2 linked regions of the Arabidopsis thaliana genome follow. The protein of the gene in region 1 purifies or fractionates together with the protein of each later gene. This does not show direct contact. Each region holds a gene or a part of one and is shown in the gene's direction. Other genes may lie near its edges. The genes, in order: PPR336 and AT1G26750.

Region 1 (4,392 bases):
GTATAAAAAAAACCCCCACATTTCACACAAATCGTTATACATCATTAATAAACGTACTAAAAACTGAAATTAATTTGATGTACAATATTTAGGTGTGGCTGTTGGATGTGGATGGCAAGCATTTGTTGCGTACGTAAACATTGGATGTTACTACGTTGTGGGGATTCCAGTGGGATTCGTTCTTGGCTTCACTTATGATATGGGAGCTAAGGTAAATTTTTTCTCATGTAAATTTGGTTACAATAATTGTACCTTATTAAATAATAATAGCTGTAATATTTAATGTGTGTGTTTGATATGGTGCAGGGAATATGGACTGGGATGATTGGTGGTACTTTAATGCAAACAATAATCTTAGTGATTGTCACTTTACGAACTGATTGGGACAAAGAGGTAAATTATTTTTATTTTTTTAATCTAGGAGCATTTTTAGGTTTATAATGAAAAGTTTTATGCACAAATCTTTGTATGAGTTTTGGTAGATATGATAATGATGGAATTCAATGAATCGTGGTATTAATCTAAATTTATTTTGTAATTTAGGTTGAGAAAGCTTCGAGCAGATTGGACCAGTGGGAAGAGAGCCGTGAGCCGCTTTTGAAGCAATAAATAAATTAATGAAATGATTTGTTTATTTTTATTTTTTTTGGGAGTTTTGAGGTCAGATTGAAATCAAAATTTTTGTTTCCCCGAAATATGGCGATAGATGATCACTTGTAAGATGCATATTCAATTGTTAAACTCTCGTTTTTCAATCGAAAAATGTATATCGCTTTGTTATTTAATGACTTGGAAATTTGAGTTTTTTTTTTGGTTTCTTGGTGTTGTGGGAGTTTTTTTTTTGATGGACATTTGAGATTAGAATATATAGGAGCAAAGTTGAAAGTTTATTTCAGTGTATGATTGTATATGAAAATAAAGAGTGAGTTGTTTCTTCTTACCAACTTCTGTCAGTTTTTAGCTAAAAGTTGAAGAAGAAAGGGTATCTTTTCAACGTCTGATTAATAGGAGTTAGGACCAAATACAATGGCCCAATCACTTCCCTAAATTAAATGAATCCAACCATCGAGAGTTGGAGTTTTAATTAATTCCATAAGTTAAACTGGCAATGGACAATAAAATATGTGGTCCTAACATTACTGAATCTAAGAGGAAAAACCAATCTTACTATGAAAAGAAAACCAATCACAAGCGTATCAAATGCATCAGCTAAACCTTAAGAAAACACCATCTTCCATCTATCTTCTCTGGTGTCGGATCCTGCACAAGACAAAGCTGTGATCATCGCAAAGGGAATAATACTGAGTCATGAACCAAGTATACTTCCATAGGAATTACAATTCTGTTTCTTGCGGTACACGAAACTCTCCCTGTAACCTATCAACATCTCGGCTTCGTCAACGATCGGAAATTTCCAATCAATGGGTCTCCAAGTGCCGCCTTCGCTCTCTCCGTTTATTGCGGGTACTTTGCGATCTTGCGGTCTATTCGTCCCATCCTTGTCTACTCGGAATAAAATAGAACCACTCTCTAAAACTTGAAGAAAGGATGTGGTGTTACGTGTTGAAGAAGCCACAACTCGACTTGGTACAATCTCTTATGGAGCTGTTTTGCCCCTTTTCAACCTTATTTCGAAGATAGTCTCTCACCAGTTGAAAATCGCTTGGATTGAACACTGAACCAATCTGATTAGTCCCCTTATTTCTAGCCTTGGACCGTTGTAAGATCGAGAAATTAAAGTAGAAAAAAGTAGTTTATGGGAAGCGTATGCGTGTGTGACTTATTCATCACCAGATTTGTCACCTCAACCGCAGCAACCATTCGCACCATAATACAATTTATCTTCTGCAATATATATAAGTTAGAGAGACTATTAATTACCGGATCCGTGGCGCAATGGTAGCGCGTCTGACTCCAGATCAGAAGGTTGCGTGTTCGATTCACGTCGGGTTCAATTCCCCGAACAAATCCGGATCTCAACTTTTTTAATTTTCGTTTTCATCTCAACCGTCCATTGTGAAGACTTTTAAAATACCCATCAACGGCTATGATTAGATTTTACACAACACAAAAACCCTAACAATCCCTAATTCTCCAGTCTCCGTCTTCTTCTTCATTTCACAGTCATCTTCTTCATCTAAAACCCTAAGAAAACAACAATGGCGTTACTCTCTCGAATCCGTTCATCAACATCTCTCTTCCGTCACCTCAACGCATCACCACAAATCCGATCACTCTCCTCGGCTTCAACAATCCTCTCACCAGATTCAAAAACTCCTCTCACAAGCAAAGAAAAAAGCAAAGCAGCTCTCTCTCTTCTCAAATCCGAGAAAGATCCAGATCGTATCCTCGAAATCTGCCGTGCAGCTTCTCTTACTCCAGATTGCCGCATAGATCGAATCGCTTTCTCCGCCGCCGTCGAGAATCTCGCCGAGAAGAAACATTTCTCCGCTGTATCGAATCTCCTCGACGGATTCATCGAAAACAGACCAGATCTCAAATCGGAACGTTTTGCTGCTCACGCCATTGTTTTGTATGCTCAAGCTAATATGCTTGATCACTCTTTAAGAGTTTTTCGTGATCTCGAGAAATTCGAAATCTCTCGTACGGTGAAGTCTTTAAACGCGCTTCTCTTTGCTTGTTTAGTAGCTAAGGATTACAAAGAAGCTAAAAGAGTTTACATTGAGATGCCTAAGATGTATGGAATTGAACCTGATCTCGAGACTTATAATCGTATGATCAAAGTGTTTTGTGAATCCGGTTCAGCGAGTTCGTCGTACTCCATTGTTGCGGAGATGGAGAGGAAAGGGATAAAGCCGAATAGTTCAAGCTTTGGTTTGATGATTTCTGGGTTTTATGCAGAGGATAAGAGTGATGAAGTAGGGAAAGTGTTGGCGATGATGAAAGATCGTGGTGTTAATATCGGTGTTTCGACTTATAACATTAGGATTCAGAGTTTGTGTAAGAGGAAGAAATCTAAGGAAGCGAAGGCTTTGCTTGATGGGATGTTATCTGCAGGGATGAAACCGAATACGGTAACGTATAGCCATTTGATTCACGGGTTTTGTAATGAAGATGATTTCGAGGAAGCGAAGAAGTTGTTTAAGATTATGGTGAACAGAGGATGTAAGCCTGATAGTGAGTGTTACTTCACTCTTATATATTACTTATGCAAAGGAGGAGACTTTGAGACGGCTTTGAGTCTTTGTAAAGAGAGTATGGAGAAGAATTGGGTTCCGAGTTTTAGTATCATGAAGTCGCTTGTTAACGGACTAGCTAAGGATTCGAAAGTCGAAGAAGCAAAGGAGCTTATTGGGCAAGTGAAAGAGAAGTTCACTAGAAACGTTGAGTTGTGGAACGAAGTCGAAGCCGCATTACCGCAATGAATCAAAAGATAGTTCCCGAGATCGGTATTTTCAAAATTTTACGAATTTTCTCTCTTCATTTGTCAGCAATGAAATAAGTTTATATCTTCTTAGAAGATAGTAATCTTTTGCTCATCATGGTAGCTATAGATTAATGGTTTATCTTGTTAGTTTTTGGATTTGGAATCAGAGAGATGTTGAGCAGTTTATCTGTAAGATTTGGTCAAAGCATTGTAGCAATGTTAAGTGTCTTCCTATGTTTATATTATATAGTATGATGACTATATAATATAGAAAGAAGTTTAATGTTTACATGCTTACCACGAACTAATGTGTTTTGGAGTAAAGATTTGATTGGAAGTTTGTTAAAAGAGAGAGACGCGTTGGCTTATTCACGAACAGAGAAGAGAACCCTAAAAATAAGAAAAAGAAGAATAATCCTTTTATCCAAATTTGAGAGATGGGAACATTCATATATAACAATAAGAGAGAGCAAAACTTTGTGATCGTCCCCTAAATTCTCGTGTCATGCAACATCATTTTCCTGGGAAAGATCTGATCTTTCTTTCAGATTCGTTTTGCCCAGACAGGGTTTGGATCTGAAAGGATCGGTAAGAGAGACAAGATCGAATCTTTCCTTGGGGGATTCATTACAAAGGATTTGTTTTTGTCTGAAGAATCAAGAACAGAAAAGAAAAAACAAACAGAGGAAGGAAGAAGAAGGAAAATGATGAAGCTTTGTCCTTGTTTCATCAACCCGCATCAGCTTGGACCTAATTCGCCTAGAGATTCATTTGACGAAGGTCTTACAGCTTATAGAGGCCATAGCCGTAAACTTTTTGCACTGTTCACATTTCGCTCACATCGGAAAGGTATTCGTAAACGTTGTCTCTTCTTCATCTAACTCAATCTTCTCAAAGATTTGATCACATATCATTTGGTTTCTGAAAATGTTTATGAACATTGATAAATGCAGGAAGCTGCAGGCAGAAGTATATAACGGAAGAGATAAAGAAGTATGGGAACG
Region 2 (3,845 bases), about 14 Mb from region 1:
ATCCATTTCGAATATATTTAGCTGTTGAATCCAAATCTAAGAGCACAAATAAAAGTGAATGAGATAATCCTACACTTTGCAACAAGCAATGACAATAACATAATTTGTCAAGAGAAGCATGAGAATATTGATCTTGCAGCATACAATAATTTGCCAAAACAGCATCAACTAAGTCTTTTATCATTCTAGTGTACTACTAAGAAAGCCAAGATTTTATCCTCTTGATATCCAACAAGGAGTAATCATATTGGAAACCATGACCAGTTGTTCGAATTGCCTTACTCAGTAGGGTTTAGCCGCTCACCGCTGCAACAGAAGAAATGTGGCAGCTTGACTCGCCCGCAACTCCTGGAAACACAAAAGAGTGTGCACTTAAACTGGCGGCATATATAAAATTCTGATACAAGTGCCCTCACAATGAGATCATGAAAACAAAAGAAGTTTTAAATCAAACATATACCAAAACCGAACAACTAGACTCATATTTTGTACCATGTTGCACACAAGTAGGTCTTTCGTCAAACATGTTAACGATACACAGTTCTAGTTACTCAAGTGCAGTTTATACCAAGTGATAGTTAGGAGAGACAATGAATCACAAAGCATATGCATTTATTCTTCAGCTGTTGCTGCAGCAACAACAACCTAGATAAACCTAACAGAATTTTTCTATCACAGCCTCAAAACTAAACACCCATACCAAACTCAACCTAATGGATATATTAAGAAGCATCAAACAGATAAAACAAGAAGAGAAGCTAATCTGCGGACAAAAAAAAAAAGAAAAAGAAGAGAAGCTAATCTCTTACCTGCAACGGATGATCACAGGAACAGGCTTAAGAGCCTTTGGACCATTTCTTATCCCTCTCTTGTGTTTAGAAATCTGCATGTTTCATCAAGAACAGCTTCAATTAACACTATCATTCTCCAAGGAGCCATTAAAAATTACACATTTTCATTCACATGTGAACCTAAAGGAAGTAAGGAACCAAATCAACTTAAACCCAAAGATACACAAGCAAATGGAAAAACAATGGACACTCAAAAACACACAAAGAGACAACATTTCTTAGATAGATTCTATAGAAGAAGCAATCTAGCACTTAGTATCTCAATTGCATAATCAACTAATAAGTCCTATAGTGCACCTTCCTAAAACCCTAGATAAACCCTGACTCCGTCAAAAAAGCTAACCCTAGATACCACAATAAATCAAAACCCTAAGAAATTTTATCATTTCAGAAGTGGAAAACGAAAGGAGAAAACTAATTAAGGGACTGAGAGTTCTTTGACCTTCTTCTTAGGCACAGCCATTAGCTCCATGGATCCATTAAAAGCAAAACTAGGAAGCCCGAACCCGAAGCTCTTTTCTTCGATCAAACCCGGTTGATTCTGATCGAACTCAGGTAAAACCAGCGGCGGCATAGAAATCGGGCGATCAAAAGCTCCGTTCAAGGGGGAAGGCATCGCAGCGACATGACTTAAGCTTCGGGTTTCCAAAATGCGACAGGACTCAACCGCGGCGCGTTTTAGCGATGTCAATCTCAACGCCATTGATGCAGTTTCTCCAAAGCTATAGCTGACGGAAGTGAAGACTAGTAGAAGAAACCCAAAAGAGGTGAAAATTTATCAAGGCAAATGTATTTACGAAACGGCTGCGTTTTGACATACGAACCATACAATTGCTCTGTTAACCGATTTTAGACCGTAATTTAGAGTGTGATGTACCCGGTTTAATTCATGAACCATGAGGTTTTATCAAATCGAGCCATTTCTGAAACCCTTGTGTCTTCGTCGTCTCTGGTAAAACAATAACAGATCAAGCGAAGAAGAAAAGTGAAGAAGCTCAGCAACAATGTCGTGGATGAAAGGTGATTTACTTTCCAAAACCAGGAGGCTTGTTGGTGGCTTAGCTACACGAGAGCCTGTTTGGCTTAAAGCCATGGAAGCGTAACCCTCTCTTCTCCCATTTCTATTTCTCCAAATGATTTGGCTCGATTGATCAATTTGATACTTCCTTATTGAATCATCCGTTAATGGGTTTCTAATTCGGATGCAATTGAATTCTAATCGCACAAAAAGTTGAGATTTTGGCATCTGTGAATTAGGATTTTGAGGGTTTTGTTGAAATGAGTGTTCTGTGATTTGGTTTTAATGGCAGATCACCACCTCCTGTGTTTCCTCGCTCCAATGGAAAAATCCAGAAGATTGTTCTCCCTGAGGATCCTTACGTTCGTAAATTCGCTAATAAGCATCCTGGAACCAAAATTGATGACCCTGCCAAGTAAAATTCTCAACTTTTTATATCTCTGCATTTGTATCAAAGATAGTTTGATGATTATGTTATGAGTTAGTTCTTCATAAAGCTTATTCTGATATGCATCACTATAGAAAGAAGTTTAATTTCAAACAATTTTGTCTTGAACCCATTACTATAAGCACGTGTCACTCTTAAATTCTGATTCAATGGGAGAGTTTCACCATTTTTCATTCTGTATCTATCTCCCTCTCATTGCATCATCTTCAATTACCTAGGATATCAGCATTTATTCCAGATCAAGCACGTGTGTATGGTTGCCGGGTACTTGAATTGAAGGAGCATGGCATCAGTGAGGGTGACGCCATGTCTGTAGCTAATGTACGTATTTTCTTTTCACAGTCTATGATTAGCTACGATACTTGAATAGATATGAATCGTAGTACCGCTGCTGTTGATGCCGTTTCTTTGAACATGGGAGATGTTATTCTTCGAACTTGCTGAGTTTGTGTTTTGATGATTTTTCAGATGGAATATCTTTCAGAGAGAAAGGAAATGAAGAAAGCATACAAACGCTTAAAGGAGCTTGCGGTAATGCAAGATAAGGATCCACCTCCTAAACCGTATCCTAGTGCCAAGAAAGGGTTAATAACTCAATCGAAGACATCCGCTAAGGATCGCTTCCAGACTCCTAGCGTCCGCAGGCTAGTTAACCAGTTGAAAAATGAGAAAGATGTGTTGCTGCAAGACAGAACCGGAGGAAGTGCTAATCAGGATAATTGGATCGACGAATAAATTACTCAAAATCATCGTTTTCTTTTTATGCACACTACTCATCCAATTTCTTTGTAGAACTGGCTTTTTTCATATATGACATTCTTTGACTACAAATGTTTTGCAACAAAACAAGTGTTATTTCCATTTGAATGTCTTTGTAATAATATCATTGGATGTTTCCTTCCATGAGGCAAGGAATTACAGAAAACCAAAATGGTTACTCTCTCTATTGATCCTACAAGCAATTAGTTTCAACATTTGTAACTTGTTACTCTATGCCAAGAAGAGTCTTCATTGCCTTCTTTTTCGATACCACTTTGCCATAAACCCCCTTCCCTAGCTTCATGATTTTCTCCATCTCCACAATGTTACTGAAACCTCCATGCTTCTTCATCATCCCTTCCACAGCCATCTTCATCAATCTCTCATCACTTCCAACAACATCAGAGACACTATCCACCACAACTTCCATTGTTGGTATCTTCCTTCCCCACCTTTTCATAAGTCTCTCTGAGTTATAAATCTCATCATAAACTCCCCAATAAGATGCTCTCAGCAACCCTTTATCTTTCCCTTTTACCTTCCATCTCTTCATCCCTTCCTCCACCATATAAACCGCGTTCCCTGCATCTACGCCTCTCTCTAAACCCATTTCAAACTCTCTAACCTCCTGGTTGGTAGCATACAAGACACTCTCAAACTTGCATCTACTGCATCCGCAACAAAACCCCCATGACTCAGCCATCTCTTTCCGTTTTTCCAATGGAGAAAGCACATCAAAGTAAGCAAAGCTAATCTCTTCCCCTGTTTT

The links.
Region 2: the proteins of PPR336 (region 1) and AT1G26750 fractionate together in Arabidopsis thaliana (co-fractionation; one large-scale study listed by BioGRID). This does not show direct contact.

What each region holds. Positions count from the first base shown.
Region 1 is NC_003070.9:22,864,320-22,868,711, reverse strand, and holds PPR336 (pentatricopeptide repeat 336), read left to right. Parts: upstream 1-2,045; 5' UTR 2,046-2,159; coding exon 2,160-3,386; 3' UTR 3,387-3,761; downstream 3,762-4,392. Other genes in the region: AT1G61890 (MATE efflux family protein), read left to right, coding at 93-211, 307-393, 544-609; AT1G61860 (Protein kinase superfamily protein), read left to right, coding at 4,093-4,237, 4,342-4,392.
Region 2 is NC_003070.9:9,245,002-9,248,846, forward strand, and holds AT1G26750 (uncharacterized protein), read left to right. Parts: upstream 1-1,855; coding exon 1,856-1,950; intron 1,951-2,161; coding exon 2,162-2,284; exon of another isoform or gene 2,285-2,535; coding exon 2,536-2,638; intron 2,639-2,785; coding exon 2,786-3,052; 3' UTR 3,053-3,273; downstream 3,274-3,845. Other genes in the region: AT1G26740 (Ribosomal L32p protein family), read right to left, coding at 279-348, 810-883, 1,294-1,554; SDG35 (SET domain protein 35), read right to left, coding at 3,303-3,845.